Linked DNA regions of Ovis aries. The protein of the gene in region 2 purifies or fractionates together with the protein of the main gene of each other region. This does not show direct contact. Links are inferred from orthologs where the notes say so. Each region holds a gene or a part of one and is shown on either strand. Other genes may lie near its edges. The genes, in order: AFG2B and CAPN2.

The links.
Region 1: the proteins of CAPN2 (region 2) and AFG2B purify together in Homo sapiens (co-immunoprecipitation; 3 studies listed by BioGRID and IntAct, with this or other methods). This does not show direct contact. The link is inferred for Ovis aries from reciprocal best matches to the Homo sapiens genes CAPN2 and AFG2B.

The regions. Positions count from the first base shown.
Region 1 is NC_056060.1:63,171,988-63,186,917, reverse strand, and holds the start of AFG2B (ATPase family gene 2 protein homolog B), read left to right. Parts: upstream 1-108; 5' UTR 109-122; coding exon 123-1,217; intron 1,218-3,236; coding exon 3,237-3,422; intron 3,423-8,054; coding exon 8,055-8,213; intron 8,214-13,151; coding exon 13,152-13,361; intron 13,362-14,223; coding exon 14,224-14,448; intron 14,449-14,930. UniProt on the Homo sapiens protein: ATP-dependent chaperone part of the 55LCC heterohexameric ATPase complex which is chromatin-associated and promotes replisome proteostasis to maintain replication fork progression and genome stability.
Region 2 is NC_056065.1:26,310,691-26,326,309, forward strand, and holds the start of CAPN2 (calpain-2 catalytic subunit), read left to right. Parts: upstream 1-7,224; coding exon 7,225-7,461; intron 7,462-12,552; coding exon 12,553-12,622; intron 12,623-15,619. UniProt on the Homo sapiens protein: Calcium-regulated non-lysosomal thiol-protease which catalyzes limited proteolysis of substrates involved in cytoskeletal remodeling and signal transduction. Proteolytically cleaves MYOC at 'Arg-226'.

The DNA.
Region 1 (14,930 bases), on a different chromosome or scaffold from region 2:
GACCCACTTCAGCGGCTTCCCTGGCGCATGCGCATCACCTGCTTCCGGCCACGGTGCGCCGGTCTTTCCGGCCCGGTGGAATTCCTGTCCGATTTTCCTGGGTTTCGAGTCTTTCGTGAGAAATGGCTCCGGACTCGGGTTCCTTTCCGGAAGGACCTCCCTTAAAGCTGCTACCCGTAGAAACTAGGGATCGGGGCACCCAGCGCTGTCGTCTAGGCCCTACGGCCCTCCGCGCCTTAGGCGCCCACCTGGGCTCGGCTGTGAAGATCTCGCTGCCTGACGGTGGCTCCTGCCTCTGCACCGCCTGGCCGCGGCGGGATGGAGCGGACGGCTTTGTGCAGCTGGACCCGCAGTGTACGAGCCCGGGGACGGCAGTGGGCGCGCTGGGGTCTGGGGGCGTTATTAACCTGAACAGCCTCCGCTTAGTGCCCTGCCCGCCCCTTCGGCGCCTCGCGGTGTGGCCGGAGTTGAGGGAGCAAGCGGGTGCGTCTGGTGCCCCGAGTCCAGCCGCTGTGCTGGAGGCTGTGCAGGAGCTGCTGAGGAACCGTCCAGTCTCTCAGGGCCACGTGGTGGCCGCTCCTCCAGGCGCTCCGGGTCCAGTGGCCGCCCTGCACATCGTTAGCGGGGCGCCCAGCCCGAATCCGGCTGGGCTGGTCACCCCTCGCACCCACATCAGTCTGAGCGAGGTGCCTCCGTCGGAAGAGGAGCCGCAGCCCGAGGTGCCCCTGGGGGGCCTTTCGGAGGCGGCCGACTCGCTGCGGGAGCTCCTCCGCCTGCCGCTCCGCTACCCCCGCGCCTTGGCCTCGCTGGGGCTAGAAGTGCCACGCGGGGTGCTCTTGGCCGGCCCCCCGGGAGTGGGCAAGACCCAGCTAGTGCGGGCAGTGGCCCGGGAGACGGGCGCGGAGCTCCTGGCGGTGAGCGCCCCCGCGCTGCAGGGCGCCCGGCCCGGGGAGACGGAGGAAAATGTGCGGCGGATCTTCCAGCGCGCCCGGGAGCTGGCCAGCCGCCGTCCCACCCTCCTCTTTCTGGACGAGGTGGACGCCCTGTGTCCCCGGCGGGGCGGCCCACACCAAGCCCCCGAGAGCCGCGTGGTGGCCCAGGTGTTGACGCTGCTGGACGGCATCGGTGAGGACCGCGAGGTGGTGGTTGTGGGATCCACCAACCGGCCGGATGCTCTAGACCCAGCGCTGCGCAGACCTGGGAGGTTCGACCGAGAGGTAAATAAAGGCTCAGCCAGTTAGGGCATTGCCCCTGAATCCGGCCTCATCTGGCCCTGGTTGGCTGCCCCGAGGAGTTTCCCACTTAGCTTTGGAAGCCAGGGAGACTGGAGTGGGGCTTTTATTTAGAGAACCTGTTCTCTGGTTAACAAATGATCTGCAAGCCAGGACCCTTTCCCTCCCAGAGTCAAATTGCTCTGAGAAGCCAGGGGGCCGATTGGAATTGTTGCAGGCCCTGAGGATGAATACTGTTATCAGTAGTGTTAGTTTTTAAGGACTACTACAAGCTGTGGTGTTGGAGAAGACTCTTGAGAGTCCCTTGGATTGCAAGGAGATCCAACCACTCCATTCTGAAGATCAGCCCTGGGTTTTCTTTGGAACGAATGATGCTAAAGCTGAAACTCCAGTACTTTGGCCACCTCATGAGAAGAGTTGACTCATTGGAAAAGACTCTGATGCTGGGAGGGATTGGGGACAGGAGGAGAAGGGGACGACAGAGGATGAGATGGCTGGATGGCATAACCGACTCAATGGCCGTGAGTCTGAGTGAACTCCGGGAGATGGTGATGGACAGGGAGGCCTGGCGTGCTGCGGTTTATGGGGTCGCAAAGAGCTGGACACGACTGAGCGACTGAACTGAACTGAACAAGCTATTAAACTCTTAGGATTTGGAATGAGAATCTAAAGTAGAAGGATAGCCTCAAGAAACAAATGTGTTGAAATGAGAAAGAAGGCAGGGAAGAAATAAATCAAAGCAGACGTTAACTCTTCTATCTAGATTTATGCATTCCTTGTCTGAATGCCAGCATCCTGTACCACAGTTGCTCTCTTAGTTGTCAGGAAGATTGAATATTCAAAATATTCAAATATTCAAGTATTATTTTATAAACTTCAGCCCTAAATTGATTCTTGATTTCTGTTAGATAGTTTGAATAGTGGTTGTGATGTTTGAACTTTGTGGTAGGGTTGTAAAGAGACAGCTGATAATTGCAGACTTTAGCATAATCTGTTTAGAACTTAAGTGGATTTCTTCTTCACACCATCTAATACCTGTCTGCTGAATAAGCTCCATAAGGGTAGGGACATAGACTTTCTGATTTACTGGCTCCTAGAAAGTGATAGGTTCTGAAAAATAACAAAATAAAAACTTCCTGACGTTGTTGCTGTTGTTCAGTCACTAAGTCATGTCTGATTCTTTGCAACTGCATGGACTGCAGCACACCAGGCTTCCCTGTCCTTCACTATCTTCTGGAGTTTGCTCAACTCATGTCAGTGATGCTAAGTAATCATCTCATCCTCTCTTACTCCCTTCTCCTTTTGCCTCCAGTCTTTCCCAGCAGCAGGTTCTTTTCTAATCAGTCTGCTCTTTTTATCAGGTGGCCAAATTATTGGAGCTTCAGTGTCAGCATCAGTCCTTCCAGTGAATATTCAGGGTTGATTTCATTTAGAATTGACTGGTTTGATCTCCTTGCAGTCCAGGGGACTGACTCTCAAGGGTCTTCTTCAGCACCACAGTTCGAAAGCATCAATTCTTAGGCACCCAGCCTTCTTTATATGGCCCAACTCTCACATCTACATGACTACTGGAAAAACCATAGCTTTGATATATGGGACCTTTGTCAGCAAAGTGATATCTCTGCTTTCTCATTCGTTGTTTAGATTTTTGTCATAGCTTTCTTTCCAAAGAGCAAGCATCCTTTAATTTTGTGGCTGCAGTCACTGTCCACAGTGATTTTGGAGCCCAAGGAAATAAAATCTGTCACCATTTCCACTTTTCCCCTTTCTACTTGCCAGGAAGTGATGGGGCCGGATGCCATAATCTTAGTTTTTTGAATGTTGAGTTTCAAGCCAGCTGTTTCACTCTTGAAAATAAGGATTTTCTCATATTCAGAATCTAAGATATGTACTTAAGAGTACCTAGTAATAGTTCCAGATTTGTTTGCTAAATTATTATACGTTTGTGAGGATAAAAAAATATTTTTAAGCTGTAAATGTTTTCTTTTCTTGCTTTGCACATAGGTTGTCATTGGAACTCCTACTCTTAGACAAAGAAAGGCAATTCTACAAGTGATTACTTCAAAGATGCCTATCTCTGATCAAGTTGATTTGAACCTCCTTGCAGAAATGACAGTTGGCTATGTTGGCGCAGACCTGACTGCACTCTGTAGGGAGGCTGCCATGCAGGCTCTCCTTCATAGTGAGAAGGTAAGAAGTATTGGTTTATGACCTATGTTAACCCTTTTATTAATGTAACAAGTTAATTTGGGGACTTAAAAAAGTGGTAAGTACCTTTTCCTGAAACTTTTGACACCTTAGACATCTGTTTCTTATATGTATTTTTACATCTGAATTCCATATATAACTAGTGTATGACTGAAAGTGGGGACAGAGAGCTGACTTCTCTAGGTCGGTCGAGGGCATGTTCCCATTCTCCCATACTAACTCTTTAGTGCTAAAGCCCAGTGCAATAAGGAAAAAGACACTGTGACCCCAGAAGAATCAAACATGTGTCTTTAAAATTTTCATTTTATTTTGAATCTACTTCAGACTTAGAGAAAAGTTGTAAAACTAGTACAAAGAATTTTTTCATTTTCTTCACCCAGATTCTTCAAACGTAACATTTTACCACCTTTGCTTTATCATACTCTCTTCATGTGTATGGATGTTTATGTATATATACTCATACTCTCAAATGCAGCCAGAATGCCCGCATAGCTTTGAAAAGTTGAGTTGTTTATTTCCTAAAATCAGACTAACCAATAGTACAAACAATAATCAAGATGAAGAAATTAATACCAACTTTTACTTAATCTATATAGACCTTATCCAAATCTCACCATTTGTCCCATTAATTTCCTTTGTAGCAAAAATTTTAAAAGGAAAAAAGAAAAGAAAATTTTTTTGATCCAAGATTACACATTGCGTTTTTTAGTTGTCATGGTTTCTTAATCTTTAATCTAGAAACTTCTTCAGTCTTTCTTTTATGACTTTAATTATTTTTAAGAGTACAGTTCAGTTGTTCTGTAGGATGTTCCTCAGTGTAGGTTTGACTGATATTTTCTCGTGAGTTGAGTCAGGTTTTGCATTTTTGGCAGAAATATTCCAGAAATGATACTGTGTTCTTCTCATTGTGTCTGTTAGGTAGAAATGATATATCTTTGTCCTGTTACCGATTTGATATCTTAGATAAGGTCGTTATCTCTGAGATTTCTCCATTGTTAAGATACTATTTTTCCCTTTGTTATCAATACGCATCTTGTAGGGAAAAGAACCTTTTCTTACTCTGGAGAAGATTAGGTGCCTGGAATTTTACTTAAATTCATCTTTGACATTTAAATCCTTAATTCATGAGTGCCTTTTGAAAAAATAGTTGGGATATTAACTTAAATGTAGTAGTTTTCAACACTATAGATTGGAAAATCTGTTCACTTTGTATGTAATAAGTCATCCTGAGTCCCTAAACTCCTCCAGAAAAAATTTAATTTCATTGTGCTAGGGGTTCTGTTGTAACACATAAAATTGTCCTTTGATCTTACCCCTAATTTTGAGGATTTTTTTTTAAACCATAAGAGGATGATTTATCCTAGATTTTGAAAACATTTTTACCTAATTTAATCCTTCCTCATCTTCTTTTCCTTTATTTTTACTCTTACACTGAAGGTAGGGAAGGAATTACGTGAACTTTAATTCCTCATCTTTGGGGTTTAGAACCAGAAGTGCTTAAAGATTTAATGACAAGTCCCATGTGTGAAGATGTGAGAATATATGCCTCTTGAATGGAGGACGCGAGTACAGGATGCAGGAACAGAGGTTTACATTTAGAATTCCCTCTGCTTTGAAGTTCCCGGTTTGACGTAAAGCACCTTGGCTTAGGTGGACCAGACAGCTGCAGTTGTCCTAGGGTGGAGCCCACTGCTACTTCAGGAGGGCCTGCCTAGGCATGGTTAGCACAGGTGATGGCTGAGTTCATAAACAACCAGGGGAAGTGGAAAAAAAGAAAGGCAAAAAGGAAGAATGGACAGAGGCATCTGGGTAGGTACTGGTTCCATCTATTTCTTTTTCCATCTCTAGGCAGCTGAGGGGCTGTTGCCGCCTCTATTACAGGGCAGATGAGGACACATTAGAGTTTGTTCAGCTTCTTGTCAAGTATGTCTATTAAAGCATTGGAAATACAGTTTAACACATAAACATATACACATGGAGGGGAAAGGATTTTATCTGCCTGAAAGGGTTATGAAAATCAAGTGAATAATACATACACACTAATGATCTGGAAGTGTAAATGGGATTTTCAAATGTTAGTTGGTACTCACCTAAAGTGTATTAGTATTCATTTACCCAATATCTGATACTGCTAGCTAGTTAAAAAAAAAAAAAGATGCTATTTAAAAAAATTATTTAATAACATTCTTTGTGAGAAATTAAACAAGATAAAAATTGTCTGAAAGCTCATCTCCCAGAGATTATAGTTATTAGCATTTTTAGGAACAGTTAATGATAGCTCTGTATATATATATTCACTTATTTAATCTTACATAAATGGGATAAAATAGTTTGTTATTGAAAATGGGAATTTGGGGACAACTAAATATTCAGAATTTTATGTAAGGGTAAATACTTAAATATAATACAGATATTACAAATAGAAATGTGAATTTTTAATAGCCAAAAAGAAGATATTTACTGATTTGACCATTCTAGAATGGCAAAACAATACTATTTTTAAAAAAGATGATAAGTTCAAAGGCAAAACAAACAATACTGTAAACAAAGGCAAGGACATGAGACAGACTGGGAAAAATACTTTCAGCCCATGACAAAAGACCAATTTCCTTGGTATAGAAGGAAGTCTTACAAAGCAATAAGACCAATCTAAGAGAAAATGTATATAAAATATGAACTGATGAACTGGTAGTTGACAGTGAAAGGATTACAAATGACTAATAAACATGAAAAATCCTCAACTTTCTTTAAAGATTCGTCTTTTTTGATTCTTTCTCTTTTAAAAACTGATTTTGAAATAATTAAAGCTTCAGGGGAAAATTTTTTTGAATTAAAACTTCAAGGAGAGGTGAAGGTAGAGGACTCCTGTTAATTCCTTTATCCAAACTGACAAGTTTTTAACATTTTGCCATATTAGCTTTATCCTCCTCTCTTTTCTCTCGTCTCTCTGTCTCTATATATACAGTTGATTTTTGAGCAACGTGGGTTTGAACTGCGCCAGTTCACTTATATATAGATATTTTTCAATAGTAAATCCTACAAATAGTGCACGGTCCAGGACTAGCTGAATCCACGGATGTGGGGAACAACAGATTTGTTGGGCTACCTCTACTTAAATAAGGATTAACCTCCATGTTGTTCAAGGGTCAACTGTATACATATACACATTGTTTTTTTTTTTCTGAATCATTTGAAAATGGGTTGCATGCATCTTAACCTGTTATCCCTTAATATTTTAGTGTCCATTTCCTATGAACAAGTATGTATAATCTCATTATATTCAAGAATGTTGTCAGATCTACAGTCCCTATTTTGATTTTGCTGGCTGTTTCAAGTTTTATAGCACTCTTTTCCTTCAGTGTAGAATTTAGTCCAGGACAATGTATTATGTTTAGTTTTTGGTTTTCTTTAATTTTGAACATTTTCATAGCACTTTCTTGGTGTGTGCGCGACATTTTGACATTGACATTTTTTAAGATTTAAAGTCAGTGATTTTATAGAGCATCTATCAATTTGGATGTGTCTGTTTCCTCCTAGTTAGATTCAGGTTATGCATGCCCATTGGGAGCACTGCATTAAATGTTAGTGTGTCCTTCTTAGGATGTCATTTGTGGAGACTTAGTGTGTCCACCGGCTCCTCACGGGGGGTGCCTCTTGTGGGTGACTGGTGCGATCAACTAGTCAAGCATTGGTCCGGTTTGTCTGCTGTAGAGCTGTTATTTTTCCCTTTGCAACTAATAAGAAATCTGTGAGGAGACCCTCTGAGACAATGCAGACATCCTGTTCCCCGTCAGACTTTCTCTCCCCTAGATTGGCATCCGCTGATGATTCTTGCCTCAAATAGCCATTACTGTAATGGTTGAAAATTTTATTTTCTAATTCCATTATTCTTTTTACCTCACTCTTGATTGAAGAAATTTAATTAACGCAATAGTAAACACCGTGTCTTCTGTCACAATGGCAGAAATTTAAGGTTTGGTCATGTCCAGTGTTAGAGAGATGTGGGGAAAATAGCTTCATATTATTGGTACAGCTTGGAGCACATTTTAATAGTAGCTATGAAAATTGTAAGTGTGCATACTCTTAAGCACAGTAATTCTATTTTGAGGGAAGTATTATATAAAATACTTGAACATGTGTACAAAGACATTCAGTTGCAGCTTTGTGTTTAGTACCAAAAGACTGGGAAACCTCTGTTCAATACAAAGGTGTCATTAAAATACTCACGCAATGTTATGCAGTTGTCAGAAAGAATGAGGTATTATTGTATTCGTGGACATGAAAAGATTCCTGAGAGATGAAAAAGTACAAATTAATGTGTACAGTATGGTCCCATTTGTGTGTCTTTTTGAAAGGATATACACATGTCATAAACATACTGGAAGAATACACAGGAGACTGTTGGCATTCTCTGGGGATGAAGATTGGTGGGAGTTGAGGGGGAGACATTTAATTTTTTCATATCATGTGTTATAAATTTCTTTATAGTGACAACAAAATAGATGTATAAATTCAAATGAGGATCACAATAAAAAAGTAATCATGTTTGTGTGCCACAAAAAAGGCCCACCTGATTTTTGGTTTGATTTCGCTTTTTGGGGTGGATTACTTCAGAACCAGGACAATCCGACGATTGATGAAACAGACTTCCTTGAAGCTTTTAAAAAGATCCAACCCTCGTCATTTCGAAGTGTCATTGGACTGACAGACATCAAACCTGTTGGCTGGGAGCAGATTGGTGGCCTTGAAGATGTAAAGCTGAAATTAAAGCAGGTGAGATAGAGAATCTACTTGGCCAGTAGAATATGATGGTCTAAGTGTAATGCACTTGTGGTGTAAACAAGTGGCACTGAAACTTATGGCTGCCTTCACTAATGGGAACCTAACATCTTGCCTGGAAAATCCCATGGACGGAGGAACCTGGTGGGCTGCAGTCCATGGGGTCCCTAGGAGTCAGACACGACTGAGCGATTTCACTTTCACACATTGGAGAAGGAAATGGCAACCCACTACAGTATTCTTGCCTGGAGAATCCCAGGGATGGGGGAGCCTGGTGGGCTGCCGTCTATGGGGTCGCACAGAGTTGGACACGACTGAAGCGACTTAGCAGCAGCAGCAGCAGCAGCAACATCTGGATCCAATGATTGCTTTTCCGTCCTTGTTTAACTGGACTCTACAGACATCAAATGCCATTTTTCATACTTTCTTTCTTCATCTTTTTGCTTAGTTTTTGCTCTAAAGAGTTTCTAATTTAGATGAAGGGTCAGTAAACTCTTTCTGTGGAGGACCAGAGAGTAAATAATTTAGGTTTTATGGTCTCTGTTGCAGTCATTCAACTCTGCTATCACAGCACAAAAGCAGTCATATGTAATGAGTATTTGTGTTCTGATGAGATTTTATTTATAGACACTGAAGTCATATAATTTTCACACCACAGAATATTCTTTTTTTTTTTTAACATTTAAACATGTAAAACTGATTCTTAGTTCATAGACTGTACAAATTCTTCATTCATAGGCCTGAATTTACCCCCAAACTGGTAAAAACACAAAATTAACAGTCACTTTGGCCTGAGTAGTTACTTGATACTGATTCTCACAGTGGCTGTTAAGGGTCACAGCTCACCGGATTTTCTTACCTGCATTGCAGTTCCAGAAATTAATTTTTCTAATTCCCTTTTGGGTGATCCTGCCATAAGAAAGTAGGTTTCTCAAATCAAGCACACACAAGACTAATTTATAAGTATCCATTATAATTTATTTATCTTAACTAGGAGCTGTATGTACAGTGAACCCTGATATCCTTGTATCCATGGATAGGCACATTTTGTTGTTGCTAAGTCACTAAGTCGTGTCTGACTCTTTGTGACCCCACGGATTAAAGCATACCAGGCTCCTGTGTCCTCCACCATCCCCCAGAGTTTGCTCAAATTCATGTCCATTGAGTCTTTGTTCCTCTCTAACCACCTCATCCTCTGTTGCCCCCTTCTCCTCCTGCCCACCCTCTTTCCCAGCATCAGGGTCTTCTAGTGAGTCAGCTGTTTGCATCATTCCAGTGAATATTCAGGGTTGATTTCCTTTAGGATTGACTGGTTTGATCTTCTTGTGGTCCAAGGGACTCTGAAGAGTCTTCTCCAGCACCACAATTTGAAAGCACCCATTTTTTGGCACTCAGCTTTCTTTATGGTCCAACTCTCACATCTGTACACAGCTGTTGGGAAAAACCACAGCCATTGTCCACAGTGATTTTGGAAGCCCAAGAAAATAAAATCTGTCACTGTTTCCACTTTTTCCCTTCCCATTTGCCATGAAGTGATGGGGCCAGATGCCATGATCTTAGTTTTTTTGAATGTTGAGTTCTAAACCAGCTTTTTCACTCTCCTCTTTCACTCTCATCAAGAGGCTCTTTAGTTCCTCTTCACTCTCTGCCTTTAGAGTGGTATCATCTGCATATCTGAGGTTGTTGATATTTCTCCCAGTAATCTTCGTGCATATTTATATGTGTGTATGTATATATATAGGAGAAGGCAGTGGCAACCCACTCCAGTACTCTTGCCTGGAAAATCCCATGGATGGAGGAGCCTGGTGGACTGCAGTCCATGGGGTCGCTAAGAGTCAGACACGACTGAGCGACTTCACTTTCACTTTTCACTTCCATGCGTTGGAGAAGGAAATGGCAACCCACTCCAGTGTTCTTGCCTGGAGAATCTCAGGGACGAGGGAGCCTGGTGGGCTGCCGTCTATGGGGTCGCACGGAGTTGGACACAACTGAAGAGACTTTGCAGCAGCAGCATGTATATATGTATTTTTGTGTATGTATATATATGTATGTATGTATGTATTTGACTGTGTTGGGTCTTAGTTGCATCATACAGGACCTTCCATCTTCATTGTAGCATGTGGGATCTAGTTCCCTGACCATGGATTGAACCCAGGGCCCCTGCCTCGGGAGTGTGGAGTCTTAACCACTGAACGTCAGGGGTATCCCTCTCCCGGTAGTCTTGATTCCATCTTGGGTTTCATCCAGCCTGGCATTTCACATGATGCATAGAAAGTTAAATACTCTGCATAGAAGTTAAGTACTCTGCATAGAAGTTAAATAAGCACAGTGACAATATATAGTCTGTATACCTTTCCCAATTTTGAACCAGTCAGTTTTTCCATGTCCAGTTATAACTGTTGCTTCTTGACCTGCATACAGATTTCTCAGGAGGCAGGTTAGGTGGTCTGATATTCCCATCTCTTTCAGAATTTTCCACAGTTTGTTGTGATCCACACGATCAAAGGCTTTAGCATAGTCAATGAAACAGAAGTGAATGTTCTTCTGGAATTCCTTTGCTTTCTCCATGATCCAACAACTGTTAGCAATTTGAGCTCTGATTTCTTCTGCCTCTTTGAAATCAAGTTTGTACATCTAGTTTTCAATTCACTTCAGCCAGCTGAAGTCTAGGATTTTGAGCATAACCTTGTAAGTATGTGAAATGATGCAATTGTATGATAATTTGAATGTTCTTTGGCATTGCCCTTCTTTGGAATTGTAATGAAAATTGACCTTTTCCAGTCTTGTGGCCATTGCTGAGTCTTTAAAATTTGCTGACATATTGAGTGCAGCATTTTAACAGCATCATCCTTTAGGGCTTGAAATAGCTCAGCTGGAATTCTGTCACTACCACTAACTTTGTTCGTGGTAATGCTTCATAAGACCCACTTGACTTCATACTCCAGGATGTCCAGCTCTAGATGAATGACCACACCATCCTGGTTATCTGGTTCATTAAGACTTTTTTGTACAGTTCTTCTGTGTATTTTTGCCACCTCTTCTTCATCTCTTCTGCTTCTGTTAGGTCCTTAACCATTTCTATCCTTTATCTTGCACATCCTTACATGAAATGTTCCCTTGATATCTCCTGTTTTCTTAAAGCACATTTAAATATGCTCTAATTTTTTAATATGCTCTCATTTAATCTTCACAAAATAGCCATACTTTCCTGTGAGACACACTGTCTTCCTTTAGCGCTGAGATGTTAGGCTTTCCTACCTTTTTGAGCACTCCTCTCCCTTATTTTAAATGTTAATTCTCCAAGCTCCCAAGAGTCCTCTTTTTGCATTTTCTAAGTGAGTCCTTCATCTCTCATCTCCTGAAGCGTGTCCCAGGCTTTAGCTGTCTCCTGAAAGCAGCTAACTCAGAAATCTTTATAACCCGTGCAGATAGTTCTTTTGACCATCAAAACTACTTAACTCCCTGCATACTAAATAACTTCTAGGGATCTCGGATTCAGCATGGCATGTCCAGAGTTTACCTTACCAATTCCATCTCTATAGCTGGATGCCCTCTCCCAGTAAAGACAGCCAGTTGCCCCATCCCCTAAGTCAGAGACCTGTCTTCTAGATGCATGTCATGTTGCATGTCACATACCTTCCCCTCTGGACTTCCCCCCTGCATAAAGTACACTTACATTGTATGTTTCAGGTCCATCCCTCCCACACGATCTCTGCTGCCTGTGACACATCCAGCCTTATTATTTTTGTAGTCTGAGTCATTGCACTCATTGACCACTGCTAAGTGGTTTCCGTCCCTCTGGTTTCATTTCCTTCTAGTTCATTCTCCATACTGCTTCCTCATTGTTGACTGAAACTGTCAAGGCCCAGTGTGATCTGACTCCTACTTCCATTTCAGCTCCATCACTCCTTGCCTCCCACGTCCTCCACCCTGTTCTGCTTACCACTGGGAGATGAACTGGATGGTTGATGTGTCTCTGTATATATTTGTCCATGGAATGCCCTACTCTGGCCTGGTTGTTAGTTTTTAAGCCTGTCTCCCCAGTTACAATAGGAATTTCTAGTACGGGATCTTGTCTGTCTTTTTTTGTAGAGGCAATGTATCGGTAGTTAAGAACTCCCGCTCTTGACCTACACTGTCTGGGATTAGTCTTAGTTCTGTTACCTCACTCACGTTAAGGTAATAAGGCCTGGGCAAGTTACTTCACTTTTTAAGCCTGAGTTTCTGCATCTCTGAAATTATGATAACAAAATCGTCTACCTCAGAGGTATTGAAGATTTATTTATAATTCAGCTAACATTTAATGAGTACCTACTTTGTGAAGGTGTCATTCTAGGTGACGGGGATTTAGAGGTGAACTTTGCCTACATTCTGGCAAGAGCAGAATGACAAACTCAGCATGGGGATACAGTAATTTCAGATAGCAAATGAGTTAGTGCTCCAAAATTAAAAAATGGGTAGTAGCATAGAGTGCCCAGGAGGAAGAAGGTCTGTTTTAACTACAGTGGTTAGGGAAGACCTCTCCAAGGAAATGACTGTTGAGTGGAGACCTGTGTGATGCAGAATAGCATATAAAGATCACAGGGGGTGTTCAAGCAGAGAGACTAGCAAGTAAAGGCCCTGAGATGGGAGCAAACTGTGGGGTGTTTGGGTGATGGGTTATGTTAGGCCTTCTAAGCAGTGATAAGTTAGGAGTTTGGATTTGAATATTGTAATTCTGACGAGAAGTCATTGAAAGATTTTAAGCAGGAAGTGATGTGACCTCACTTATGTCATAAGCTCACTGGCTGCTGTGTGGAGATTAGACCCCATATCCAGCTCATAGCAGGTAGCTGAAGATTGTTGAATGAATTTATTGAAAAAAAATTTTTTTCACATTATACTAAGACAATTGTCTCCTTTTGTGTCCTGTCTCTTTTTGTGTTCTTTTAGAGCATTGAATGGCCTCTGAAATTCCCTCGGGAATTTGTTAGGATGGGCCTGACACAACCAAAGGGAGTTCTCCTATATGGGCCCCCTGGGTGTGCCAAAACCACGCTGGTGAGGGCCCTGGCTACGAGCTGTCATTGCTCTTTCGTTTCAGTGAGCGGAGCTGATCTCTTCTCGCCTTTTGTTGGAGATTCAGAGAAAATCTTGTCTCAGGTTGGTTTGTTTATTTTCCCTCATGTAGTTAAGTTTACTTTTTAATTTTTGTTTCATGCATTAAGAATAAACCTTATTTTTTTTAATGTAACTGGCTATTTTTACTGTTAAGAACATTATACCTATTTGTGTATAGAAAACTTAGAAAATATAGAAAAGTATAAATAGGAAATCCTCCACAATCTCTCTACTTACTGTTAACATTTGGGTGAATTTTCTTTGTTGTTTTGTTTCCTTGGGCAAGGGAATGAATGGATATTATATATATAATACTATAATGAGTGGATATACATATATAAAATGAGTGGATAATATATACCTATCCACTCATTTTATATATGTATATATATATCCCGGCTTCCTTCATAGCTCAGTCGGTAAAGAATCTGCCTGCAATGCAGGAGACCTGGGTTCAATTCCTGGGTCGGGAAGATCCCCTGGAGAAGGAAATGGCAACCCACTCCAGTATTCTTGCTTGGAGAATCCCATGGACAAAGGAACCTGGCAGGCTACAGTCCATGGGGTCACAAGAGTCAGACACGACTGAGTGACTAAACCACCAAACCACCATATATATATCCATTCACATATGTATACATATACATACATATATATCTTTATTGTGATTTAGCTTAGTGTTACCACTTTTAAAATTCAGTAATATTAAATGTTTTTTGAAAATAAGATTTTTAACCCCTGTATAATACTGTTCTTTATTTTATTTGTTCATTCCCCAGTTCTTAGACATTTATAATCTTTCTTTTTATATTTTAAAAATTATAAATAGTAGTGCAGAAAGCATTCATTCATATGAATAAGGCATGATGTATAGCCTTTTAATATTTCCACTTTTGAACAAAAGGTATTTCGACAAGCAAGAGCAAATACACCAGCAATTGTGTTTTTGGATGAAATTGATTCAATCTTGGGCTCTCGATCAATCAGCAGAACAGAATGTAATGTTCAAGATCGTGTTCTTTCTGTTCTCCTAAATGAATTAGATGGTGTTGGATTGAAGACTATAGAGAGAAGAGGAAGTAAATCAGATCACCATGGTAAATGCAAGCAGCTGGAAAAAAATGAAGAGGTATTTATTAGCCAGGATACACCAAAAATCCAGGCCAACAATAATTAGACTGCATCTATACTATCTTTTCCTATGCTGGATTCATCTCATAGAATTATATAATTTCACTTTGACTATTAGGATTTTTACAGAGCTGGTAAAATTGTGATTTAGCTGGGAAGATGAGGCAAATTTTATAATAAACTATCTTAGATATGTATGAATGTGAATTTTTCCCTAAGATTAGAAATGTAACTGCATATTGCTAGTGGAGAAGGGAGTTTCTTATTTCTGTATCCTGATAAATGAGTGTTTTATGGGAAATGAAAGAAAACAGACTATTATTTCCAATAATCAGTAATTAAAAACTTCCAGTTTTGTTGAGGTTTCCTTGGTTCTAATGCAGTTAAAGTGACCTTTGGAAATCCTGTTCCTTCTAAAGCTTTTATTCATTTTTTCTTGTTTCCTATTTCTTAAATTGTTCCATAGAAAGAGAATCTTAT
Region 2 (15,619 bases):
AAGCTTGCTTTGCCAGGCACGGCCCAGCCTAGCCCTTGGAAACACACAGGACACCCCCTCCGCGCGGTGGAATCCAACAGGCCCTTCCAACCCTTACGGGACACGCATGAGGAAAGAATAAGTTCTGCAGCAGCTCCAGCAAGGAGAAGTCTCTAAAACAAAACCATATGTTGTTAACACTGCAGAATTTGTATTCCTCCTGTTCTCCGCTAGATTCTGATCATGGGCCTGAAAGTTGAGGAGAAGACAGAACTAGCTTTGCCTCAGCCTCAGTTCTAGGGGAGAGATGGCCCCTTGCCCTCCTAAGCCAGGAAAAGAGACTGGACAGGACAAAGGCTCTGTTACATAATAGCTGTCACTCTGCTGGGCCTCAGTTTCCTCGTCTGTCAAATGAGGAAATAAGATCTCCCTGACCAATTAAAGATTTAAATGTGCAAACGTGTATAGTGAGCGGCACTCAGCCTGGCACATAGAGGGGTCAGTTAAGAAGTTGGCTTGGAAGAGTGTCCCCAGGCCCTTCATACCATGCCCGGTCACCTCTCAAGCAGCCGTGCTATGGAGTTGGTATGACCTAAATGCTTTATTTTCTCTTCTTTTCACTTGCAAAAAATAATCTGCAGGAAAAAAGTCTATGAAAGGATGTCCTACTGTATAGGACAGGGCTTCCCTAGTGACCAGTGGTAAAGAATCCGTCTGCCAATGCAAGAGATGCAGGTTCAACCCTGGATCGGGGAGATCCCCTAGAAGAGGAAATGGCAACCCACTGCTGTATTCTTGCCTGGGGAATCCCAGGGACAGAGGAGCCTGGCGGGCTGCAGTCCATGGAGTCTCACTGAGTGACTGAGCACACACTATATAGCACAGAGAAATATACTCAATCTCCTATGATAAACCATAATGGGAAAGGATATTTTAAAAAGAATGTACATATAGATTTAACTGAATCACTTTGCTGTACAAGTAGAAATTAACACAACATTGTAAATCAACTCTACTTCAATTAAAAATATATTGATCAAGAAAAGAAAATCTACTAAAAGAAATTCCTTTGCTGTGGCCCTCTGGCACACACACATTCCCTCTCTCTCTCTGTCACACACACCCCTGCTGATGCACAGACTTGTGCTTTACCCCTAGGCAGTTTTGGGTAATCCCAGCAGCACTGACTCACCCCTGCTCTCAGGACTGGTGACTCACTGGATCGGTGAGGCTGGTAGGGTATATGTGTGTCTGTCTGTGCTGGTGAGCCCTGTGGAAGGGATTGTGTGGTCAGAGAGAGATGAGGTTTTGCCAGATCCAGCGAGATAGCATTATGTGAGAGGCTCTGAGAAGTACAGGGCAGCAGTTATTCAGGTTTTAAAAACTGGATCTCTTCCAATGGTGGGCATGGTCATCACCGTGTGTAGTTATAAGTAAATGTTATGAGTTCCTTTGTGAGACTCCTGTGTGCAGAGGCCCTAAAGGCTGGCAAATCAGCTGCCAGGGCTGCAGAGAAAATTGGGCATTGCACCAGCCCAGAGGGAGGCAGTCCGGGGTGACGAGGAGGCTCCTCTGCCAAGGGCTGCAGGGAGCTTCTGTTAGGGCTGGTTTGCCTTTGTCACTAAAAGGCCTGGGGAACCTCAGCCACTTGCCTGGGAGAAGGGGCTTTCCTGAAACCGGCTGTCCTCCAGCAGACCAGCTGGAGAAGCAGTCTACCCACTTGGCTGCTGGAAGGGTGCACAAGTTTTCTCTCAAGAGCCCAGAGCTCAGCGCCCCAGTGGAAAGTCAATAGTGCAGGAAATTAACAATTTCCAGGAGGTGCTGTCTCTTCCCTCCCTTCTCCACTGGCATGGTTTCATGAAACTCTTGCATCAGCAACCCGTGAGCTAGAAAAGAATGCCTGCGTCCCCCATTTCACCCAAGGGTACAGAAAGCAAAGCCCAGTGCTTGCTGGTAGTGTACGAAACACATTCAGACTTAGATGGGGAAGACTAATCAGAAAGAAAGGCTGTTGCAATCAGGGGAATTCTCCGGTCTCAGAAAGCTGCAACAGTCTCAAAATCAAACAAAATGGACTTTGTGTGTGTGTTTAATAGAGTAAAGGAGGGGCAACAGAGATAAGCAGAATGTTTGGAGGGGAAGCCAGACAAACAAGGGGAAACGAATGGGGTCGGATAGGAAACAGTCATGCTGGAGTCAGCAGATTCTCAGGAGAAGCTGATAAGGGGGGGGCCCAGTCCATTTTTTTCTGTGTTGGCTTGGGCTTGGAGGCAAGGGAGAAACCTGATAAAGTCTGGTCAAGCAGAGGGTAAGAAATGGACCCCTGAACAGCTGGTCAAGGACAAGAATAGATGAAGAAGGAGGAGTAAAGCTGGTGAATACAAAACCAAGCCAAGTGGAGGCTGATTCCACAAAATCAGGCGTGCCTGGGAAGTCCACGCTCGAAGCATTTGGTGCACAGGGCTCAGTCCTCAAATATGAAAACAGACTCATGGCGGGCAATGCAATTCACACATCCTTCATCCTCTCCAGGAAATTTAGAAAATGGGGTGCAATAGGCAGTCCCCAGAAGATTCTGAGGGGGAGAGAGGTAGATCCTTCAAATGCAACCCCTACCCCTTTTAAGACGGATGTGTGGCCCTCAAGATCAACATCAGCGCTGACTTTAAAAAAGAAGCTGGCACCCTGATGATGGGCAAGTACAGACAGCATTGGCTCATACCGCCTGTCAGCAGACCTTCTGGTCATGGACTCTTTGGCTATGAAAGGACCCCAGAGGTCACCACCACCCCATCTCTGAGCCCCCTTTGGCCGAGGGACCCCAAACTGGCTGGCCCTCAATCATTAAAGACCAAACACTTTCTGACCTACGGAGCCTTGGCTGCACAGCCCAGAATCTGTATTTTTAACACACTACAAGTGATTCTGATATTCAGCCAAGCTGGGGAACTCCTGACCCCTTGAACGCAACCAGCAGTGCTGGACTCCCAGCATCACAAGGTGGCCCATTGCACATGGCCCAGCTCCAGCCACTATTTAATCATTTTTCATGGTGAATTAAAATCTGTGCCCCTTCAAATCTGCCACTAGTTCCTTCTCTCCCTCTGAAGCAACACAGAATGAACACATTTCCTCTTCTCCAGGACAATCCTGCAAACACTTGAAGTTAGTACTACCTGCCCAATATCCTCTTGCTTCCCCTGTGGCTCAGCTGGTAAAGAACCCACGTGCCAATGCAGCTCAACAGACATGGGTTCAATCCCTGGGTTGGGAAGATTCTCTAGAGAAGGAAATGGCAATCCACTCCAGTATTCTTGCCTGGGAAAGCCCAAGAAGAGAGGAACCTGGCTGGCTACAGTCCATGTGGTCCATGCAGTCACAGAGTCAGACAGGATGGAGCATGCACACATGCCCATCCTATTATCCAAGGAAAAATGCCTGTTTTCCTTTTTTTGCCTCTGTTTTCTTTGACTATTTCTTACCCATTTTATTTATTTAGTTAGTTTTGATCTAACTCATGAACAAAAGAGGGAACCCAGTGTATGTTCTTGAAAAATTAGTTCAAACAAGAATCTGAAAGAACAATTAGGAATACTAAATGGAATTTGTTAATATAAGCAAAACTGAGAGAGGGAAGACAGTTGATTGCACTTCTACCCCAAGAAGTTCATTTGCATATACACAGACAAGAATTATTTGCATTACTATCAATTTCTACATTGCACAGAGCAGTAAACATCCTGAAGACTATGAAAGGATGCTTAGGCACAGACCCTGGCAAGGTGATTAGGTTTCATCTAATTCTGATAGGGACAGAGTAGGATAATCAAATAGCTCTGAAATCCCACTATGAGATTATATCACTAGACAGAGAAGCAACTTTAGGAGGCTTTGGGAGACCACAGTAAGTTAGTGATCACTCAAGAAAGCCAGGTTTGCTTAACCACAAAATCAAGCAGGCTTGCTTAGTAACAAAACCATGCAACAGAAGCATCAGACATTCCCCCAAAACAATAAAACAAAGGTGGCATGAGGCCTATAACCTGACCAGTGAGTTCAGTAAGTTAATGACCCCTAGGACATGCTCTCTGCACACATAAAGAAGCAGGAGATATTAAGAAGAGGTGGCAAAAAGAACTGTACAAAAAATATCTTCACGACCAAGATAATCACGATGGTGTGATCACTCACCTAGAGCCAGACAACCAGGAATGTGAAGTCAAGTAGGCCTTAGAAAGCATCACTACAAACAAAGCTAGTGGAGGTGATGGAATTCCACTTGAGCTATTTCAAATCTTGAAAGATGATGCTGTGAAAGTGCTGCACTCATTATGCCAGCAAATTTGGAAAACTCAGCAGTGGTCACAGGACTGGAAAAGGTCAGTTTTCATTCCAGTCCCAAAGAAAGGCAATGCCAAAGAATGCTCACACTACTGCACAATTGCACTCATCTCACATGCTAGCAAAGTAATGCTCAAAATTCTTCAAGCCAAGTTTCAACAATACATGAACCATGAACTTCTAGATGTTCAAGCTGGATTTAGAAAAGGCAGAGGAACCAGAGATCAAATTGCCAACACCTGTTGGATCACTGAAAAAGCAAGAGAGTTCCAGAAAAAGGTATATTTCTGCTTTATTGACTATGCCAAAGCCTTTGACTGTGTGGATCACAATAAACTGTGGAAAATTCTGAGAGAGATGGGAATCCAGACCACCTGACCTGCCTCTTGAGAAACCTATATGCAAGTCAGGAAGCAACAGTTAGAACTGGACATAGAACAACAGACTGGTTCCAAATAGGAAAAGGAGTACGTCAAGGCTGTATATTGTCACCCTGCTTATTTAACTTATATGCAGAATACATCATGCAAAATCCCAGGCTGGATGAAGCACAAGCTGGAATCAAGATTGCCGGGAGAAATATCAATAACCTCAGATATGCAGATGACACCACCCTTATGGCAGAAAGTGAAGAGGAACCAAAAGGCCTCTTGATGAGGGTCGAAGTTGAGAGTGAAAAAGTTGGCTTAAAACTCAGCATTCAAATAAATAAGATCATGGCATCTGGTCCCATCACAGAAAATAGATGGGGAAACAATGGAAACAGTGAGATACTTATTTTCTTGGGCTCCAAAATCACTACAGATGGTGACAACAGCCATGACTAATAGATACTTGTTCCTTGGAAGGAGAGCTATGACAAACCTAGATAGCATATTAAAAAGCAGGGCCATCATTTTGCCAGCAAAGGTCTATATAGTCAAAGCAATGGTTTCTTCCAGTAGTCATGCATGAATGTGAGAGTTGGACCATAAAGAAGGCTGAGCACCGAAGAACTGAGGCTTTCAAACTGTGCTGTTAGAGAAGACGCTTGAGAGTCCCTTGGACTGCAAGGAGATCAAGCCAGTCAATCCTAAAAGAAATCAATTCTGAATATTCATTGGAAGGGCTGATGCTGAAGCTGAAGCTCCAATACTTAGGCCACCTGATGCAAAGAGCTGACTCATTGGAAAAGACCCTGATGCTGGGAAGGATTGAGGGCAGGAGAAGGGAGTGACAGAGGATGAGACGGTTAGATAGCATAACCGACTCAATGGACATGAGTTTGAGAAACTCCGGGAGATGGTGAAGCTTGGTGTGCTGCAGTCCATGGGGTCACAAAGAGTCGGACAGGACTTAGGGACTAAACAACAAAGAGACAATGGGACACAGAGAGGTATCTGATCTCTAGGCCTCGAAGGTCCCCACCACACTGAGCCTATAATCTTTGCAGATATCTCTGGTGATTGCTGTGTTCTGGAAACAGGTCCTTTATCTAAATTCTTCAGGCCATTATCAGGAAGGTCAGTTTCTTCCTGAGTCTCCTGGGCCTCCATTGTTTCCAGCTCAAAATAATCCACATGCCAAATAAGACATTTTGAGGTGGCAAATTTTGCTTCCTTAAATAAGAAATGATTTTTTAGTATGCCGCCATTCACTGTTTGGAACATACCTATAGTGAAAAATCATTAGTGTTTACTTGAAATTCAAATTTAGCTGGGTGTTTTACTGAATGAAACTTCGTGTGCCCGACACCCAGTGAGGCCAAACAAATCGAAACAGTTTGGAGCAGAGGAAGGTTTATTGCAGGGTCATGCAAGGAGACCGGGGTGTCTCATTGTTAAAAAGCCCTTAACTCACTTAAGGAATTCAGCAAAGCACCTTTAAAGGCAAGCTGAAGGAGGGGCATGGTTAGCTGTTGCAAACTTTTTGGTGTTGGAATCCTTTCTTAGCTGTCCATGTAGGTCAGGTCAAGATGTTCCCATAAACTTTCAATGAAACAAATGTTATTCTCTGTTCCCCAACTTTTTATCTCTATGTGAATGGACTCTTTTAGGTCAGAGCCCTGAGACTAGGCTCCCCTATATATTTCAGGCTATAGGCAACATTTTTTTTTTTTTTTAACAAAAGGTGCAGAACCAGCATGAGTAAGCACAGGCAACACAACAGATCTAATATGGAATCAGATTTGTTCTTCCCTGTTACAGGTGGATGTATTTTTATTTGCCAAATCTGACCCTGCTCTCTGTGATCGTACAGCTAACTAGTAGCAGTGTGTAGCCTTCTGATTGTAACACGCCTCTGGTAACTTGGAATCCTTGTTCCGCCCCAAATTAGCTGAGCAACACTGGGTGATGTCATCTAACCTCTCAGTTGCTCAGTTTTCCCATCTGTCCAATGGAGTCTATAGCAGAGAAACCACCTTCTTACAGAGCTGATTTCGTCTCCTCCAGCTCTCTCCCCTTCTAACTCACAGGGTGTTTCCTGGAGAGTCAGGATAGCCCCAGCCTTGGGTTTCCGCCAGCCTTCTCCTGCAAGTGGGAAGCCGGCTAAAGTGAGACTGGATTTGAGTCCCCGCTTTTCCACCGGGATGCCCTGGGTGCTCGCAGCCGGCCCGCTCGGCCATCCCGGGCGCCGTCCGCAGGTGGCAGCACCGGCCCCGCGGGCCGCCGCCGTCCGGCTGGCGCTGTGCAGGCCGCGGGCCGCCAGGGTCCCGGGTGGGGCGCCGAGCAGGCCGGGAGCGGCCAGGCCACGCCCGCAGGGCGGAGGGCGCCGCGGGACCCGGTGAATCATCGCCGGCGGCGGCCGCTCACAGTCCCGCTGCCGCGCGCCGGGCCCTGGCCGCGCCCCTGCCGAGCGCCGCTCATCGCCGCAGCCGAGACCCTCGCTCGCTCGCCCGGCGGCAGCGCGGGCACCGGGCCAACCATGGCGGGCATCGCGGCCAAGCTGGCCAAGGACCGGGAGGCGGCCGAGGGGCTGGGCTCGCACGAGAGGGCGGTCAAGTACCTCAACCAGGACTACGCGGCGCTGCGGGACGAGTGCCTGGAGGCCGGGGCGCTGTTCCAGGACCCCTCCTTCCCGGCCCTGCCTTCCTCCCTGGGCTTCAAGGAGTTGGGACCCTACTCCAGCAAGACCCGGGGCATCGAGTGGAAGCGGCCCACGGTAGGGAGCGCGCCCGGGGCGGGATGCGGGGCCCGGAGGCGCTGCGGCCCGGCCTCCGAGCTGGCGAGAACGCGGCCCCGCGCGCGGGGAGCCGCGGGAGCGCGGGGAGCCGAGCCCCGCGGCCCGGAGCCCGACCCGGGGCTCCGCTGGCGCGGGGTCGCCCGCGTCCCATCTGCCACCCACGGGGCCCTTAGGACGCGCCGAGGTGCACACTGCCCACATATGGCACTAGCAGGCCCGCCGGCAAAAACTCTCAAAAACGCGGGTGACATAAGGGGGCCTGAAGGAAACTTCTTGGACTCTGCCGGGCGGGCCCGAGAGAAGGGAGGCCGCGGGTGGGGGCGGGCGGGAGACCGGGGCGTGGGTGTTACGGAATTTCGCGGGGGAAGTCGGCCTCTAACTTGGTTCTCTCTGCTTCAGGGAGAAAGTCCACGCATAGCCTGGACGTTTGTGACTAGGGATCGTCTTTTGAAGTGATGGTTAGATTTATCCACGCAGTTTCCTGTTTATTTTTCCAGATGGGAACTGGCAAGACAGCTCCCTGTAGTATTTACCCTGGTGATTATCAAAAGGACAGGGGAGATGCAGCCAGGAGCCGCTTCCTTCTCCTCACCCCGGAATCTCCCGGCCTCCTCTGAGCTCCCTTTTCCCACCGGCCCCGGATCTCTGTCCTCCGTGCCCTGGCAGGCCTTGGGTGCAGTTTGCTTCCCTGATCAGTTTGTACATCCTGTGTCCCTGGGATCCCTCCTGGCCCCACCTCCTATGGGACAGACACCTCTCTGGCCTTCCCCCACCACACCCCAAGGAGGCCTCCTGGGAAATCCAGCCTCTAGATTCCTGTTAGGAAAATAAGCATTCCTGTCCTGCTTACCCCACCCCACCCCCCGAACCCCCACCCCCACCCCCATCAGCTGGTCACCTTCTGTTACCCCAAACCCAGCCTGCAGGCAGCAAGTGCAGTAGGAGGTACCCTTGGCCCAGAGCACTTGAGTTCATTTCTTGCTAACTTGAGTGAGCTGTTTAACCTCTGTGCCTCCATTTCTTTATCTAAAAGAGAGAGTTTCCTCTCTCCACTGACTCACCAAGCCCAGCACCTTTTAGTTTCTCAAGGGCACCCTGCTCTTTCCTGCCTCACTGGCCAGAGATGCTCTTTCTTAGTTTTCTGGAATCTGGCTCACTCATTCTTTGGGACTTAGGTGTCTCCTCCCCAAAGAGATTTTGTCCTGACCATTCGTTGCAGCCCCCCTTCTCATCTTGTCATTCTTTATCATGAACTTTATCATGCTAATTTCCTTTACAGCATTTCACAGTTCGTACACATAATTACATGTATTGGTTTGTCCTTCCTACTGAACTGCAGGGACCTGTGTGTATTGTTCACCAGTCAATCCCTGGTGCATTCAGAGTATGCTTTCATTTGTTCATTCATTCATTTAGCAGTATTTGTTGAGGGCTTGTTAAATGTCAGGCACTGTCTTAAATGCTTGGGATACATCTGTGAACAAAAAGACTCTTGGTGGAATGAATGAATGAATGCAAGATTGTAATGAGCCTCAAACAAAATTACGACTGTGAAAGTGATAAACGAGAATGTAATTGCCTTATGTTTGTACAGTACTTGACAGTTTGTGAATTTATATACTTCTTTCCTTATTCTTTCATTCATTCAAAAAGCTTATATCGAACACCTACTGTATGCCAGGCATAGTGCATATTGGTTTTTGCCTCTGAAGGCATTAGGGGTTAGACAGACAGGTCACCCATCAGTTGGGAATGCCTGTAGGATTTCCAGATGGGAAAATGGAAATCTAAGCCCATTTTAGAGCCCCAGGTTAGGGCGGGACAGGGTATGAACTGAGCAACTAACGGGGAGGGCAACAGGTATAGACCCATTAAGCAGTTGAAGAAACTGAGGCTTGAGAAGGTTAAATATTTGCTTATACAGGTGTCTGGGGCTGGAGCCAGGACTGTCCGCCTGTGGGTGTTTAGAGTCCACAGTTCGCAGCCACTCTCTCTGCCTTCTCAAACAGCTGTAGTTCAGATCAAGCGAGACAAACAAAAATGTATCCACTGGATCTAGACAAAAGCAAGTCACTGGTGACTTTAACAGAGCAATTGCCATGGGGTAGAATGAGATGGTTAGGTAGCCTCACCAACTCCATGGACATGAGTTTGAGTAAACTCTGGGAGATAATGGAGGACAGAGGAGCCTGGTGTGCTGCAGTCCATGGGGCCAAAAAGAGTTGGACACAACTTAGTGACTTAACAGCAACAACTGAATTGCAGTGGGTAGGAGCCAGACGGCTGTAGACCCCAAAGTAAGGAGCCAGAAATGAAGAGCGTGCTCGGGTAATTCCAGAAGCGTTCTTGTGAAAGGAGAGGAGGGAAAGTGGCAGGGAGAGTAGGACCTGGGACTCGAGAGGTTTTTTTTCAGATGAGAGCAGTTGGAACGTTTTATATGTCAAGTCCCAGGCTTCCCTGGTGGCTCAGTGGTAAAGAATCCGCCTGCAATGCAGGATCCACAGGAGATGCAGGTTCGATCCCTGGATGGGGAAGATCCCCTGGTGCAGGGCGTGGCAACCTACTCCAGTATTCTTGCCTGGAGAATCCCATGGACAGAGAAGCCTGGTGGGCTACAGTCCAAAGGGTCGCAAAGAGTCAAGACATGACTGAGCATGCACACAAGCATATGTCAAGCCCCAGAGAGAACGGAACTGAAGAGAAAAGGAGGCCCCGAGGAAGTGAGAGGAGGGAGGGGAGCGGGCCAGCCCTGGAGCCAAAGGGCTGCCCTTCCTCAGAGGGGGTTTCCCAACACCCTTTCCCAACAGAGGGTTCCGCAGATGGGAAGAGGACACGGCTAAAGTCACTGTGGGCTGGTCACCATCAAGGATGGCACCAGTCAGGTTGGAGCGAGGGCAGACATGTCAGTCCCCACCTTGCCCTGACCGGTGCAGGCCTATGGGCTATTAGGAACCGGGCCACACAGCAGAAGGAGAGCAGCAAGTGAGCAAGCAAAGCTTATCAATGTTTACAGCCGCTCCCCATCGTTTGCATTACCACCTGAGCGCAGTCTCCTGGCATATCAGCGGCGGCATAATAAATGTAACATGCTTGAATCATCCCCAAACCATTTCCCCACCCCACCCCATCCGTGGGAAAATTTGTCTTCCACAAAACCAGTCCCTAGTGCCCAAAAGGTTGGGGACCACTGATCTAAGAGCTTTATGACTTGTTTACACTCAGCTAGCTGAATTCAGCCTCAAACCTGCATCTCCTGCCTCCAAGTTCAGTGATTATGATACTCCTTCAATAACTATAATAGTCGGTAACTTATATAGTGCTTACCAAGGCACATGTACATAGTCATCTCATTTAAACTTCGTAGGTACACTTGTCATCACTATCCCCATTACACAGATGAGGAAACTGAGTCTTAAGGAGGTGAAGTAACTTGCCAGGGTCATAAAACCCACTGTATAAGAAGTGGCAGAGCCAGGAGTCACACTCCAGCTAACTCCAAAGCCCAGGCTCTCAACCCCTTTCCTGAGACTGTGATGTTCCATATTTAATTCATGCCCTTCATGCTGTGTACAAGTTTCAATTTCCTGAAGCATCTCTAAGAGCCACTCTAAACTTTGCCTTCTTTGGAGAGGCTGCCAAAGGTGTGAAAAATTTCTCAAAAATAATGGAAAAACCCTTCTGGGATAAGTGCCTGGTGCACCGAGGATTATCAATATGATTTCTAGGCTCCCAGCACCAAGTTCCGTGTATTCCATCAGCAGGATAAGTGCTTGGCTGGCAGGCCTCGGACAAAGCTGGCTTCGTCTGCCTCAGCAAAAAAAGCATTCTCACTGTGCCTGTCTTCCCCCAGACAGACCCACCCAAACAGGGAAGGGACAATGCAGGCATGAGAGGAGTGTGCTCTGCTGTGGATTCCAGAAGGGTCTCCAGTCTAAGCCACGATGGACAGGGGCTAGATCCTGGCCTCACCCAGGAAACGCTTCTGCTTGACAGAGAGGGGGCCCACCGGGCGCTCTGGGGTGGAGCTTCTCCAAATCAAAGGGTCCCGGCCAAGGGAAGCCCTGATTTATGCTCTGTGTTTCCTCTGTGGTTTTGGGTGGGGCTCTTCAGAATCAGGAAGCATGCTCAGAGAGGGCAGCAGAGGGGCCAGCCCTGTCCAAGTTTGGCTTCCAGTAGGCGACCTGTGGGACAGCCCTTTTTGGCTTGTTAGTAATCATTTAGAGGCAGTTCAGGAGGGAAGGGAGTGTACAGATTACAGCAGTCAAATCCCATTGCTGTCTGCAGCCATGAGCGATGCATCTTGGGACACGTAGCTTCATCTTAGCCTGTTTCCTCACCTATAAAATGGGGTTGTTGCCCATCCATGTTCCTGAGATAAAGCACCACACACAGTATTGACATACAGCAGGCTCACAGTATGTGGACCCCCTGCTCCAAGTATCATGGCCTGTAGGCAAATCCAGAAAGCTAGACACCTTCCCCTATCCTCAAGAAGCATAAGTATTAGGAAGACATAGTGGTATCCAGCACCATGTACAGCACACATCTAGCTGCTGAATTGCAGAGGATAGATACTCTGGGATTCAGGATGGAAAGGATGGGTGAGGGCCAGACTGTGAAGGAGGGCTTCACGGAGTTCGTGGCAGTGGGTCTTGAGATATGATAAGATGTAGAAAAGGAGGGAACTGGGTCGGAGAGGAGAAATCCCATGCAGGAACAGAGGAGGGGGCGGGCATGGTGGGCAGGGCAACTCCAGAGTGTGGACCATCTCCAGGCCCCCACACGAGGCTGGACTTGGCACTGCCCTGGCCCTAGGAAGTGGCGTGATGAAGTAGGCTCCAGGCAGTGTGGGGTATTGGGATCTGGTGGAACAGTAGGATCCCCTACCACCTATCAGGACCCACAGAGCAGGAGTCAGAGAAGGACCCCATGGCAGTCCAACGGCCAGGCATTCCCTAGAGGAGAGGGGAGAGACAGAGGGGTCCGGTGCATCTGTTGGAAACTGAGGTGTGTTAACTACAAAAGTATATGGCATATACGCTGACAATACTTTGTGGGTCTCATTTTCAGGAGATCTGCGATGATCCCCAATTTATTACTGGAGGAGCCACTCGCACAGACATCTGCCAAGGAGCCCTAGGTAAGTGATGGCATCTAAGCAGACTACAGGGGCCTGTCTACACAGCTGTGGGTAGAAAGAGTAAGGGATGAGTTATGATTCCGCTCTCTTGCTAAACCCTTTGGCAATTTCTATTTCCAGAAGCTTCCTTGAATGTCTTGTTTCCTTAGGATCCTGTGGTGTGGTAGACAGACAGACAGAGGTGCAGTGAGGACACGTGTGTCCCCTGCACCAGACTGGGCTGTTTGTTGCTGTTGTCATTTTAAAGAGTTGAGATTATTATGTTTTTTTACTATGTATCTATTTTTGTGCTGGGTCTCAGTTGCAGCATATGGACTTTTCAGTCTTTGTTGCAGCATGCGGGATCTTTAGTTGTGGCACATGGGTTCTAGTTCCTTGACCAGGGATCAAGCCTGGGCCGCTGCCCTGCAGTGCGAATGAGAAGTCTTAGCCTCTGGAACACCAGGGAAGTGCTGGGCTAGTTGCTGACGTTGCATAGATGCTCCCACTGGGGGACAGAGGAGCTCCTGGATCTCAGCCACCCTTAGTGGCCCACGGAGCAGCCAGGCTCCAGGCTGAGGACCAGTTAGGAGGACTCCCCTGGGTCAGCTGCAGCACTGAGACATCAGTTCTCTGTGGTTCAGGGATGGGATGGTGACTCATTGTAAAGGAAGAGGAAACCCTGGTAGTCACTGCTGGGAGGAAGTTAACGTACCAGGGTGTCCTCAGTGTTTGCAGGGCAAGCTCACCATGGTATCACAACAGTGGACATGGTGCTGTTGTCACAGAGGCAGTTGTGATGTTCACTTAAGTAGTTTTAACTGGAGTAACTGAGTTGTGAGGGTATCTGAAGCCGGGCTCTGATTTCTGAATACAGTGCCTGCTGAGACTGGAACATACAGGCTGCTTTGACCTGAAAGCACCTGAGTTTTATTTTTTTATTGATTTTGTTGAAGGATAGTTGATCCACAGTGTTGTGCTAGTTCCTGCTGTACAGCAGTGACTCAGTTATACACATACATGTCCTTTCTCACACTCCTTTCCATTATGGTTTATCACAGGACCTTGAACAGTTACCTGTGCTCTACAGTAGGACCTCGTTGCTTATTGCCCCCAGGGTTTCTTTGAAGAAGTTTTAGCAAAGGAGCCCGGGACCACTGTTTAAGATTCTCATAGAGTCCACGCTTATTGTTTTACTCCTAGTAGGTATGAGCCTATGATCACGGGAGCAGCTTACTTTGCTGCAAATAAACCAAAACCTTACTTTGAGACGTCAGCTTCGACTTGTTTTCCAGACTAGCCCATCAGTAGCAGAGTTAATCGTCTTTGAATTGTGCCTTCTTTCCTGGCCCACCCAGCAGAGGTTCTGTCCTGGGAGTGACTTGCTTAAGGTCATCCCGCAGCTGAAGCGAGGGCCTGGAATGCAAATGCAGACGGTCTGTGTTTAACCCCTGAGCTAGACTCCCTAGAAGGGACATGGAAAGTTTTCAGCCTCTGAGGGATGTCGGGGCAGCTCTGTGAATCATTAAGACGTTAAGACAGGGTATGCTGGGAGCCCCTTGGGAAATGGAGAGCATGACTCAGAGCTAGGCGTGCAAACTCCACTATCTGAGCTCAGCATCTGTGTGCAAATTCCTGAGATGCCAGAGCACACTCTTACCTAAAGAATACCTACCTCCCATTTCCTGCCTTCTCTCCCTCACAAAAGATAGACCCAGGGGCCCTTAGGCACCTAAGGTGGGTACTCCAGAAAAGTCCAACTGGTTAGAGAAAATGAAAGTTAATTGAGCTAGAAATTGATGGAGATTACAACTAACCACAGGGGTTTTAGAAAAATCTGGAAACAGAAATGGCAACAGTCATATCTGGGCTAAATTCCACACCTGGGCTAAACATCCACTTCAGAGCTTAATGACCTCTTAAGGACCAAATTGCAAGATGTAAGTCCTGTTGGAATACTGTCAGGCCATTTGGAGAGGAGACACAAAAAGTTTACATTCCTGGGGTAAAAATCGACAAGATATGTATCAAATTAAATAAAAACAAGTCTAAGTTAAAGTCCTTTCAAAACTTCTCAGTAATTAGGTGTCATTTCTAAGTTTTGTTGGTTTGTTGTTTTTTTTTTTACACCACATTGGCCATTTTGTTCTCTTGGCCTTTTGTACTGGAGGATCCTGATTTGATTATGAGCTGTGAAATGTGGTGAACTGAACTCTCACCCTGATTCTGGCATCTGGGCAGAGGGTGGGTGTGGGGTGGTGGCTGTCACCAGGTCCCTGAAGGTTCAGAAGCATCAGGAACAAAGGGCAGCAACACCTGCCACACGACTAGAGACAGGAGTGGAGGCTCAGCTTGCAGTTGGCTGACCTCAGTCATCACTAGGAACCTCAGTCTCTTCTAAAAATGGAAAGTGAGGAGGGTCAGCAGGGTGATCTCAAAGATTTCCCGACTGTGGGGCATTCAGCTGTTCTAGAGTCACTCCTCATGCCTGACACTGAGTGGAGATCTTGGGCTAGGCCACCAGATCTCTCATCTCAGACGAGGAGTGATAACAGCCCCTGTGACCCCATGTATTCGTGCTAAATCGCTTCTGTCCTGTCCAGCTCTTTTCAATCTTATGGACTGTAGCCCTCCAGACTCCTCTGTCCTTGGGATTTCATAGGCAAGAATACTGGACTGGGTTGCCACGCCCTCCTCCAGAGGATCTTCCTGACCCAGGGATCGAACCCGTGTCTCTTACGTCTCCTGCACTGGCAGGCAGGTTCTTACCACTAGCACCACCTGGGAAGCCCCTGTGACTAAGAAACAGTGTGCAACTCGTGGAGCATTTTCATCTCGTTATCTCATGTAATAAACATTATTACATGTAATAATATTATTATCTCATCCAAATAAATATTTTCACCCCACTATGCAGATAAGAAAGCTGAGGCAGCAGGTGGGGACTCCATGCAAGGCCACATAGCTAAAAGTGGCCCAAAGAAAGAACTCGAATATGATTTTAAATCTTTCTACATT